Cricetulus griseus: one gene and its partners. The protein of the gene in region 1 purifies or fractionates together with the protein of each later gene. This does not show direct contact. Links are inferred from orthologs where the notes say so. Each region holds a gene or a part of one and is shown on either strand. Other genes may lie near its edges. The genes, in order: Tnrc6a, Cnot7 and protein argonaute-3.

What was found.
Region 2: the proteins of Tnrc6a (region 1) and Cnot7 purify together in Homo sapiens (affinity purification with western blotting; 3 studies listed by BioGRID and IntAct, with this or other methods). This does not show direct contact. The link is inferred for Cricetulus griseus from reciprocal best matches to the Homo sapiens genes TNRC6A and CNOT7.
Region 3: the proteins of Tnrc6a (region 1) and protein argonaute-3 purify together in Homo sapiens (affinity purification with mass spectrometry; 7 studies listed by BioGRID and IntAct, with this or other methods). This does not show direct contact. The link is inferred for Cricetulus griseus from reciprocal best matches to the Homo sapiens genes TNRC6A and AGO3.

Annotation. Positions count from the first base shown.
Region 1 is NC_048596.1:77,543,331-77,546,982, reverse strand, and holds part of Tnrc6a (trinucleotide repeat-containing gene 6A protein), read left to right. Parts: coding exon 1-2,309; intron 2,310-3,524; coding exon 3,525-3,652.
Region 2 is NW_023276807.1:45,222,993-45,226,644, forward strand, and holds part of Cnot7 (CCR4-NOT transcription complex subunit 7), read left to right. Parts: exon of another isoform or gene 1-378; intron 379-651; coding exon 652-813; intron 814-3,652. UniProt on the Homo sapiens protein: Has 3'-5' poly(A) exoribonuclease activity for synthetic poly(A) RNA substrate. Its function seems to be partially redundant with that of CNOT8.
Region 3 is NC_048595.1:26,617,074-26,620,825, forward strand, and holds the start of protein argonaute-3, read left to right. Parts: upstream 1-1,053; 5' UTR 1,054-1,241; coding exon 1,242-1,260; intron 1,261-3,752.

The DNA of each region.
Region 1 (3,652 bases):
CAGTTCTCAAAGCAAGTTTGTGGTTGGTAGCAGCAGCAATAATGTAGGCCATGGAAGTAGTACTGGGCCATGGGGCTTCCCCCATGGAGCCATAATAAGCACATGTCAGGTCTCTGTGGATGCTCCTGAAAGCAAATCAGAAAGTAGTAACAATAGAATGAATGCTTGGGGCACTGTAAGTTCTTCATCAAATGGAGGGTTAAATCCAAGCACTTTGAATTCAGCTAGCAACCATGGTGCCTGGCCAGTATTAGAAAACAATGGACTTGCCCTAAAAGGGCCTGTAGGGAGTGGGAGTTCTGGCATCAATATTCAGTGTAGTACCATAGGCCAGATGCCTAACAATCAGAGTATCAACTCTAAAGTCAGTGGCTCTTCTACCCATGGTACCTGGGGCAGCCTTCAGGAAACTTGTGACCCTGAAGTAAGTGGTACACAGAAGGTTTCGTTCAGTGGTCAACCTCAGAATATCACCACTGAAACAACTGGACCAAATAACACTACTAACTTTATGACCTCTAGTTTACCAAACTCCGGTTCAGTACAGAATAATGAACTGCCTACTAGTAATCCAGGGGCCTGGCGTGTGAGCACAATGAATCATCCTCAGATACAGGCTCCGTCAGTTATGAATGGCACTTCCCTTTCTCACCTTAGCAATGGAGAGTCAAAAACTGGAGGCTCCTACGGTACTACATGGGGTGCCTATGGTTCTAATTACTCTGGCGACAAATGTGCAGGCCCTAATGGCCAAGCCAATGGTGACACTGTGAATGCAACTCTAATGCAGCCTGGCATAAATGGGCCTATGGGCACTAACTTTCAAATTAACACAAATAAAGGGGGAGGTGTATGGGAGCCTGGGACAACAAATTCCCAGAGTTCACCATGGGGAAGTGGAAATGGTGCGAATTCTGGAGGAAGTCGAAGAGGATGGGGAAGTCCTGCACAGAACACTGGCACTAGTCTACCCAGTGTTGAATGGAACAAACTGCCTAGCAATCAGCATTCCAATGATAGTGCAAATGGCAATGGTAAGAAGTTTACAAATGGATGGAAATCTACTGAGGAAGAGGATCAGGGTTCTGCCACGTCTCAGACAAATGAGCAAAACAGTGTGTGGGCCAAAACAGGAGGCACAGTGGAGAGTGATGGTAGTACCGAGAGCACTGGACGCCTTGATGAAAAAGTAACTGGGGAAAGTCAGAGTAGAGATAGAAGAAAAATTGATCAGCACACATTACTCCAAAGCATTGTAAACAGAACTGACTTAGATCCACGTGTCCTATCCAACTCTGGTTGGGGACAGACTCCTATTAAGCAGAATACTGCCTGGGATACAGAGACATCACCAAGAGGGGAAAGAAAGACTGACAATGGGACAGAGGCCTGGGGAAGCTCTGCAACACAGACTTTTAACTCAGGGGCATGTATAGATAAGACTAGCCCTAATAGTAATGATACCTCATCTGTATCAGGGTGGGGTGATCCCAAACCTACTCTGAGGTGGGGAGATTCCAAAGGCTCAAACTGCCAGGGGGGGTGGGAAGATGATTCTGCTGCTACAGGAATGATCAAGAGCAATCAGTGGGGGAATTGCAAAGAAGAGAAGTCTGCATGGAATGATTCGCAAAAGAACAAACAAGGGTGGGGTGATGGACAAAAGTCAAACCAAGGTTGGTCCATTTCTGCCAGTGATAACTGGGGAGAAACTTCCAGGAGTAACCATTGGGGTGAGACTAATAAGAAATCCAGCTCAGGAGGTAGTGACAGTGACAGGTCCATTTCTGGTTGGAATGAACTTGGTAAAACTAGTTCTTTTACTTGGGGAAATAATATAAATCCAAATAATTCATCAGGATGGGATGACTCTTCTAAACCTAATTCTTCCCAGGGATGGGGAGACCCTCCAAAGTGTAATCAGTCTCTCGGTTGGGGAGATTCATCAAAACCAGTTAGTTCTCCAGATTGGAACAAGCAACAAGACATTGTTGGATCGTGGGGAATCCCACCAGCCACTGGCAAGCCTCCTGGTACAGGCTGGCTAGGAGGACCTATTCCAGCTCCAACAAAGGAGGAAGAACCCACAGGCTGGGAGGAGCCATCCCCAGAATCTATACGACGAAAAATGGAGATTGACGATGGAACTTCAGCTTGGGGAGATCCGAGCAAATACAACTACAAAAATGTGAACATGTGGAATAAAAACATCCCAGATGGCAGCAGCCGCTCAGACCAGCAAGCACAGATGCATCGGTTGCTGCCATCTGCAAACACTGTCTCAAGCAAGGAGGCAAGCAGTGGCTCTGGTAAGTGTTCATCTTTGGAGTCCAGTAGTACTCTGGAAGCAAGCTTTGTGTTGACATGCTGTCATAGGATTTGTTTAGCAGAGCACTTGGATATGCACATGGAGGCCTTTCAGCTGTGCTCCGAGAGTCGGTTGTTTTCACCAGGCAGTGTTGCTGTGAATCTTAGTACTCTGTTAGGAATGTAGACGGGGTTAGGTGGCAATATTACATACGTCTTTCAGTTATTCTGAGTCAAGACTTAACTGTTTGGTTTTATTACTGAAATACAGTGAAGCCAAGTGCCTGAATACAGTACTGGTAGATATTTGGTCTTTGACTTTAGAGGATTTTTCTAAATTAGACATCTAAATTCTAGATTAGAAGTCCACATCTACTCAGATAACAGTGGATATAGTGTGTGTGCCTAAAACAGTGCACTGTATCTTTCCAGTATAGTCCTCTCCTATACTGAGCAAATTCTTTTCTGTGTAAATTGATACGACAACATTTTCTGTAAATGTTACAGGCTAATATTTCCTTTGTTAATGGGAGTTTTGTTGAGTAATGTTTCATTGGACAGAGAAGTGGCAATGTTTTGATGAATTCTTTTGGTACTTAATTGTGGTTTGTTTTTTAAATATGAGTCTAGGCTGTTGATTTATGTTTAACTTTTAGGGCAGGCATCTTTGTTTTCATTCTTTAAACAAATTTTTTTGTGGCTTTTTGCATGGTGGGGGGAACGTTTAGACATCCTCAATGTAATTGTGTACACCTTTTTTCCTGGGTACATTTAAATGAACATTATCCAGTGTGTATAGAGTAGGTTGCTTGCCTGTTGGTAGTTGTATAGTCAGTTGTTCTCCATTACAGTGCTGTGGGAAGGGTGTCCTTTCAGTAAGGTGTGCCTAGTAGAACCCTTCACCCCACGCCTGCTCAGGTTCAGAAGAACTTGTATTTTTAGATACTAACTTCATCCTCAAAGGAAGATAATTTGCCGTAGTAATTGAATTATTCAAAAGAATCTGCCCTAGCATCAGAAGGCAGTTTTGAAAGAAAAGGTTAAACATTATACAGTTAAATTATATTAGTGCAGAATAATTTATGCCTCATGCTTGTCACAGCGTCATTATTCAGTATATGAATGTGAAGTTCTTCATTTGGTTTACTAAATACTTCCTTATTTGCTGTGTTTCCTTATATGCATGCTGATGACTTCTTTTCCCACACTTCCTAAAGGCTGGGGTGAGCCCTGGGGAGAGCCTTCTACTCCTGCCACGACTGTGGATAATGGTACTTCAGCCTGGGGTAAACCCACAGACAGTGGTCCCAGCTGGGGAGAACCCATTAGTGCGGCATCCAACACA
Region 2 (3,652 bases), on another chromosome or scaffold:
AGAGCTGGTTTATGGTTAGGTTTCTTGGCTTGGTTTTTAGAAGGTAGTCTTCTAGGATTGTGTTTGCCTCTGATGTAGGTATGTTATTGCTGGAGGAAGAACCTGCTGAGTCCTTAATTCTGAAGAGTTTACTGCTTAATAGAGCCACAGAAAGGCTCCTCATTTGTGAAAGGAGGCATCTCGTTTTTCTTTAAGATGGAATATAGTTTAACTCAGCCACAAGAGATGTTTGCCACTTGGTGTCTCCTTCCTGGTTCTGCTGAGAGCATGAGAGGTGTGAAAACCCCTCATAGCTGTGGCTGCAGCTCCATCTGGCAGCACTAACCTAGCTGCAGAGATTGAGAGCCTCTGAACAGAGCATGTCTGTGGTAGCCTCTGGTGAGTAAAAGACCCTTTGTAAGCCAGGGAAATGCATATGATGTGTAGATACTAATGGAATTGAGTTGATGCTAAGGGACTCACCACTGGACTATTGTGAATGATTATTTACTTTTGGATACTTTACATTTTGTTTCTCTTAAGAGTTGTAAGCATTTGGATAGTTGGACATAAACCAATCATGTCTGTTTGTGCACTATAGTTGTAGGTGTAAGTGGGAGAATGGCTGTTTAATGGTGGTCTTGAACATTATTTTTCTCTTTCTCCTGCCAGGGAGGACATGTATGCTCAGGACTCTATAGAGCTACTAACAACATCTGGTATCCAGTTTAAAAAACACGAGGAGGAAGGAATTGAGACCCAGTACTTTGCAGAACTTCTTATGACTTCAGGAGTGGTTCTTTGTGAAGGGGTCAAATGGTTGTCATTTCATAGGTAAATAAATAAACAGATTGCAGTGTGTTTCCCTCCTATCTCTTGTTTATACTTGATTGAGTCTCTGTATCAGAAATTCTATGCTTAGTTCTAAAAACATGTTAGTTAACTACCATGAGAGACTGTCTTATGCCTCACTTGAGAATAACCTTGTTTGTTTACATTACCTCTTAGCAAGGATTTGTTTTAGCCTTTGAGAGGTAATGGTGCTTAGTGGAAAGAATATAAGCAAGAAGAAACCTTCAGTGAAACCTGGCAAAGCCATTGAGGATTTGTGTCACCCATGGTTCTTAATAAATTTAAACATTAGTTTTTGTATTTATAGAAAGAAAGCCGTTTTTTAAAAGCTTAGTAGTACTTTCCTGATCTTAGCTACTGTACTAAGATTCTAAAACTTAATACAACAGATTAAATTTTTCCTTCCTAGGTAGTTTCCTTTCTGCTGAAGGTAAACCAATACTTTTTGACCTAATTTCTAGTGTGGTTTGTTACATAATAATAAGTTCTATGAAAAACAACTGATAACAGAGAATTCAAAGAAGGGATATTAGGGGATTTTTAATTATATTTTTGGATGAGGTGATTGGGAAGGCTATCCTTAAGGAAAAACATCTTGTAGATGTTTCTCAGTAGTCAATTATAACCTATTTAAAGCATCTAGTATTTTATATACTCTGTATATGATTACTTTTAATTCTTTATTATTATAAAATAAAACTAGATAGTTAAAGTTTCTACGAGGAAGTTAATTCACCTTTTTAAAAGTTAATTTATTTGTATGTGTGAGAAAATGTTTTTCTTTATAAATCAGCTGATTTGGCAGTTCTGGAACTAAAAGTGACCTTTGATGTTATGGGTTTGATTTTTTTTTTAATTAATTTGACTATTTGATAATAGGGTTTCTGTCTCTATTTGAAAAGTACTGTGTTGCTGGACATAGTGACACACATCTTTAACTCAAGCCAGTCAGAGCTATACAATCAGACCCTTTCTCAAAAAACAAAAACACACAACAACAACAGCAAAGCAACAATGTGTTACTCTGGTCTTAGTGCTCTTTTTTTTTTTTTTTTTTTTTTTTTTTTTTTTTTTTTTTTTTATTGAGAAGAGTTATTGGGGGAAGGGAGAGAGGAGACGAAAAGAGAGAGACAGACAGATCTGCCTGTCTCTTCAGAGGAATGGTAGAAAGAGACATTTGTTTGTTTGTTTGTTTTTCCAGACAGGGTTTCTCTGTGTAGTTTGGAGCCTATACTGGAACTCACTCTGTAGACCAGGCTGGCCTTGAACTCACAGAGATCTGCCTGCCTCTGCCTCCCAATGCTGGTATTAAAGGCATGTGCCACCACCGCCCCAGATCTTACTGCTCTTAATCTTGATAGGCTTCATACTTTTTTTTTTTCCGATAAGAATCTTCCACAGGAAATGATTATAATGTTGGATGGTTCCTGAAGTAGACCTTGATGTGGTATTATATAGTGAGTTTTAAGTTGTAAGTTCTGAATGGAGAGATGGATCAGAGGTTAAGAGCACTGGCTGCTCCTCCAGAGGTCCTGAGTTCAATTCCCAGCAACCACATGGTGGCTCACAACCATCTATAATGAGACCTGGTGCCCTCTTCTGCATGCAGGCAGAACATTGTATACATAATAAATGAAGCTTTAAAAAAGAAAGAAGAATTCTCATATACTAACTTTTATCTATGTTCATACTTATAAAGATACAAAATAACCAATTCTTTTAGTTTATACTGTATAACACATCCACTGACTCAAACAATATTTTGAATAAGTACTATTGACTCAGAACTGGGGGTAGCAAAATGGACAAAACCAAGCAGGGTTCATGTTTTATTCAACATTTTAGTCTACATTAGTGTACAGTATATGTATGTATAAAACTATAAAATTATTCCATTAAACATCACAAATATTTTCCATATTCTAATCTGTTTTTATTAATATTTTTGGAAATAATAAATCTTGCCAGTCATGGTACCTTTAATCCTAGTACTTAGGAGGCAGAGGCAGGTAGATCTCTGGAGTTCAGGCCATCCTAATCTCCATAGTAACTTCCAGCCCAGCCAGAGCTACATAGTAAAACCCAGTCAAAAAACATGGATAAGTAAATTATACATATATATGTCTACATATGTATGTGTGTGTATATATAGTGTGTGTGTGTATTCTAAACTGAAATATTTTGCTAGAAGTAAGCAAAAGCCATTGTGCTGTTGTTTAGGTAACTTGGCAAGGTCATTTCTTTGAAAACTAACAAATGTAAGTTTTCTTCTCTTAGGTACTTGTATTAAAGATCTTGTATGGTAAACAACTCCCCTTTCAAATTCAAAGTAAATAGAATCAAATTAAAGTTTTATTTTGTGTCTCCTCCAAAAGAGAAGTCATTTGCCAATTAAGAGTTCAAATTATATGCAAGGGAAAGATACTTTATAACTCTGAGTCCTGTCCTTTAAACTAGTGGAGAAAATCCATGTACCTAAAGGTCAGGACCAGCAAATATATGTGGTATGAAAAATCTCTGGGAATCGGACACTTCAGGGAAGGCGGGCTGTCGCAGGCCTAATAGAAAGTTGTATCTTAAGGAGTTCAGGAGTGGAGGAAACTAGGCATCTGTGGAAAGACTAGTGATAAGGTTGTATGCTCTCAATTTGAGATAGCAGGAGGTTGTATCATGTGGAGAAAAAACAGTTTTCACTTTTTCTTTGTTCCTACCTTTCATGTTTAATATCTGTTGATAATATCTCTTGGAGAATTATACTATGTGAAAACAACAATTGAGGAATTTTGCATACTAATAGTCACTTATGGGAAAGGAAATATTC
Region 3 (3,752 bases), on another chromosome or scaffold:
AATGAGTCACTGCTAAGCCTGCATAAAATAGTATCTGTTTTCACTAAGCTAAGTAATTTTAAAAGGATGGTCTGCTTGCATGTGCTGGATCTGGCCTCCGATTCTGATGGGTTGGAGGCAGGTCAAAAAGTAGTCCACATCCTACAGATCGGGTAGACCAGTGTCCAGGAAAGGCCACCGGAGATGACTTAAGTGAAAGTTTGGCATGGGATGGGAAAGGGAGAATTCCTGGCCAAGGGAACCCAAAGGCTCCAATTCAGCAGAAAAGCACCTGACCAGGTCGGGGGAGCTGGAAGTGGACCAGCTTAGTCTAATACAGTCTTGAGGGGTCCAGAGGGAAAAGGCCTTGGCTCCTTAGCCAGGTGCTTTAACGCCAGAAGGGAGTTTATGTTCTTCAAGGGGATTAGGAGAGTGTTTAAACACAGAAATGATTCCTTCTTGTACTCTATGTAATGTCCTGTTTCTTAGTCTTCTGTTTTAAAACTACATTGAATTTATTTTAACCATCTTTAAAAAAAAAAAAGTTGTCAAAGCAACCTCGGGTACTTAGCGAAATCTCTTGTGGTTACCGCCTAGTACTTGTGCTCAGAGCGGGCGTGGCAGGCGGAGCTAGGAGGGAGGATGTCCTTGGATGGTCATCTGTCATTCTCAGGTAGAACTGTCCCTCAGGTAAGCTCCTCGGGGCTGGCAGTGACGTCGCCTCAGGCAGCGGCCCCGACCGGTCCCCGCCTGGAAGGCTGTCACGGGGGAGGCTGGCCTCTGGCTCGGGATTGTCACCGTCAGGCACAGCGGGTGCTGGGCGGCCGCGCTCTCACGGCTCCGCCCCGGCCTGTCACCCGCTCGCTCACCCTCCCACACCTCCCCAGAGTCCTCCATGCGCTGGCCAGGCCGGCTCGGACGTTGTCACCGCACAGATCCGGCTCCAGGCGAGTTGCGGACCCCGCGAGCGGGGCACGGTCCGGGGAGCGGAACTGACGCGGGCGGGCTTCCGGGGGCAACCCGGGAGAGCGAGCAACGGCGGTGGCCGGCGGTTTGGGGAGCTGTGCACGCGTCAGCAACCGTGTGCGACGCAAGTTCCGGACCGGGCTTCAGCGTCCTCGCCTCACGCCTCTCTCTGTTCTCGCCTAGCTGCGGGCTGTCTCCCGACAGTGGCTCTTCTGCCCTGAGCTTTCGCAGGGCGCCCCTTCCTCGCCTCAGTGGCCGCACCGTTCTCTCGTGAAGCACTGCCCCCAGCTCCATGAATGGAAATCGGCTCCGCAGGTAAGTCGGGGCTGCCGGACGGGGCAGGTAGGGTCGTCACCCAACGGTCGTCCCCCGAGCATCCTTGCGCCTTCATTAAGGGAGCCGTTGGTTTTCGGGCCCAACGCCGCTGGCTTCTCCACAGCACCGCAGCTACCCTCCCGGGGCCACTGAGTTGGCAAAACTACCAGGAGGGTTTAAGTTTGGGTTTATCTAGGCGATGTCATCCCCCTGGAGTGCTTCTTCTCCCCTGAGGATACAGAGGAGTTTGCCCTTGCTTTTGTAATTCCATTTGGAAACGTCAAGGCAGCGCTTATCCCTTAGCCGGGTCGCGCGTCCCATGTAGGCTGGATAGTCAGTCCCCTTTTCTACCTCTTAAAGTAGTCTGAAGGTATTCTGAGATCACCGATGGGCTTAAGTTTAAGTCAGATGCAGGACGGCATTGCTTGCATCCCCAGACTCACTCTGTCTGTGGCAGTGTGGTATGTAGTTTTCCGAGGAGCTTGGCGAGGTCCTCTCGGTCTGGATCACCACTTATGTGAGAAGGTAGATCTTCAGAATGTTGGCACTGTTTCCCCCGATTTTCTGTTCCCTACGGCAGCAGTTGTCCACATACCTGGAAATCTGGGGTGTAGGAAAACGGTTTTGTCTCTGGAGAGAAAAATGGCAGCCTTGAGAAAGGAAGCCAGCCTGGACAGTACTTGTCCTAAGAAAGAAAGAGAGGAGAGAGAGAGAGAGAGAGAGAGAGAGAGAGAGAGAGACGAGAGAGAGAGAGAGAGAGAGAGAGAGAGAGAGAGAGGGAAAGAAAGAAAGAAAGGTCAGCGATTCTGAAGTAACTGATAAAGCAACAAGAAATAGGTGTTACATAACGGTTTGCTTACCAAGTAATCACCCTTGTTCCCTAAATTTGAAAGTTCTCTTCATCCACAAGATCAGTAATGGTATAGTTTCTATAATATTTGGGGGGATTGCCTTGTTATTATTGTATAACAAATCCCTGAATTTCATATCTTCCCTTGCCAATTTGAAAGTCCCCAAATATGTAATGTAAACTAATGTAAAAAAAAACAAACTAGTGACATAATTGTCAAAATGGATACAAAAAGGCATTTTCTGGATTACATGGAATCTCTTTCTACTCTGTTTCTACCATTTTTCCCTTTATGTTCCATTTTTTCTCTTCTCTCTTTCTTTCTTTCTTTTTTTTTTTTTTTTTTTTTTTTTTTTTTTTTTTTTTTTTTTTTGGTTTTTCGAGACAGGGTTTCTCTGTGGCTTTGGGGGCTGTCCTGGAATTAGCTCTTGTAGACCAGGCTGATCTCGAACCCACAGAGATCCGCCTGCCTCTGCCTCCCGAGTGCTGGGATTAAAGGCATGTGCCACCAATGCCCGGCTTCTCTTCTCCATATTTTTCTAAAAAGCAAAATTTGTCTAGACTGAAGTTTTAGACTCTTATTATCAATTTGTGTATTTCCATTGTCTTTTCTTTGTTCTTAAATTTTACATTTTATTTGTACTTTTCTTACTTTATAAGATATCTGATTATTTCCAGAGATCTGACTTTTACATAACTACTCTATTGTTAAGCCTGAAAAACCAAATATGAAATTAAATATTTTGTTAATCATCTACCTAAAACTTTTGAAGATATCTCCCCCTAATGAGGTATTCCCCCTTTAGGTTTTTCATGTGAAAATACGATCTAGAAAGTACTTGTGATATCAGACCACCTAGTCAGCTGATACAGTTAGCAAAGCCTGGTTCAGAAAATCAATTTTACCTTTTCCTTTGGGGTGTTCTTCTGATAGAATATAGAACAATTGATGAGTCTTCACATAAGGGTAGATATAGTTAACTAGCATGGCATAGTGGCTCACACTTTGGTCCCAGCACTCAGGAGGCAGAGATGGTTCAATCTCTTTGAGTTGGAGGCCAGCCTGGTCTACATAAAGAGTTCCAGGCTAGCCGGGGCTACATAATGAGACCCTGTCTCAAACAAACAAACTAACTAAAATTAAAACAAAACAGTTTATCAACCATGCTTGGTCATCTTGAAACATAAAAGTCATTCTTCAATAAGGTTTATGCATGATTGACTGTTGTCTGGCATCAGGAGCAAGACTGTTACCATCAAAAATGGTTCTTTGGGCTAGTCATTGTGGCACATGTCTTTAACCCCACTACTTGGAAGGCAGAGGCAGAGGCAGGCGGTTCTTTGTGAATTCAATATCAGCCTGGTCTACAGAGTGAGTTCCAGAACAGGCTCCAAAGCTATACAGAGAAACTCTGTCTCAACAAAACAAAACAAAACAAAACAATTAGATATTCTTTAATAGTCTGTTAGGTTAGTACTGAAACTTTTGGTTCTCAAATTCTGTTTTTCTTTTGTATGGAGATTCTCAGGAATCATTTACCGACAGATTGTTTATTATGTGGATACACAGAAATCTTAATTTTATTTAGTGCAATAGAGGACATTAAATACAAGTATAATAATTTTATGATGGCGCATTCCT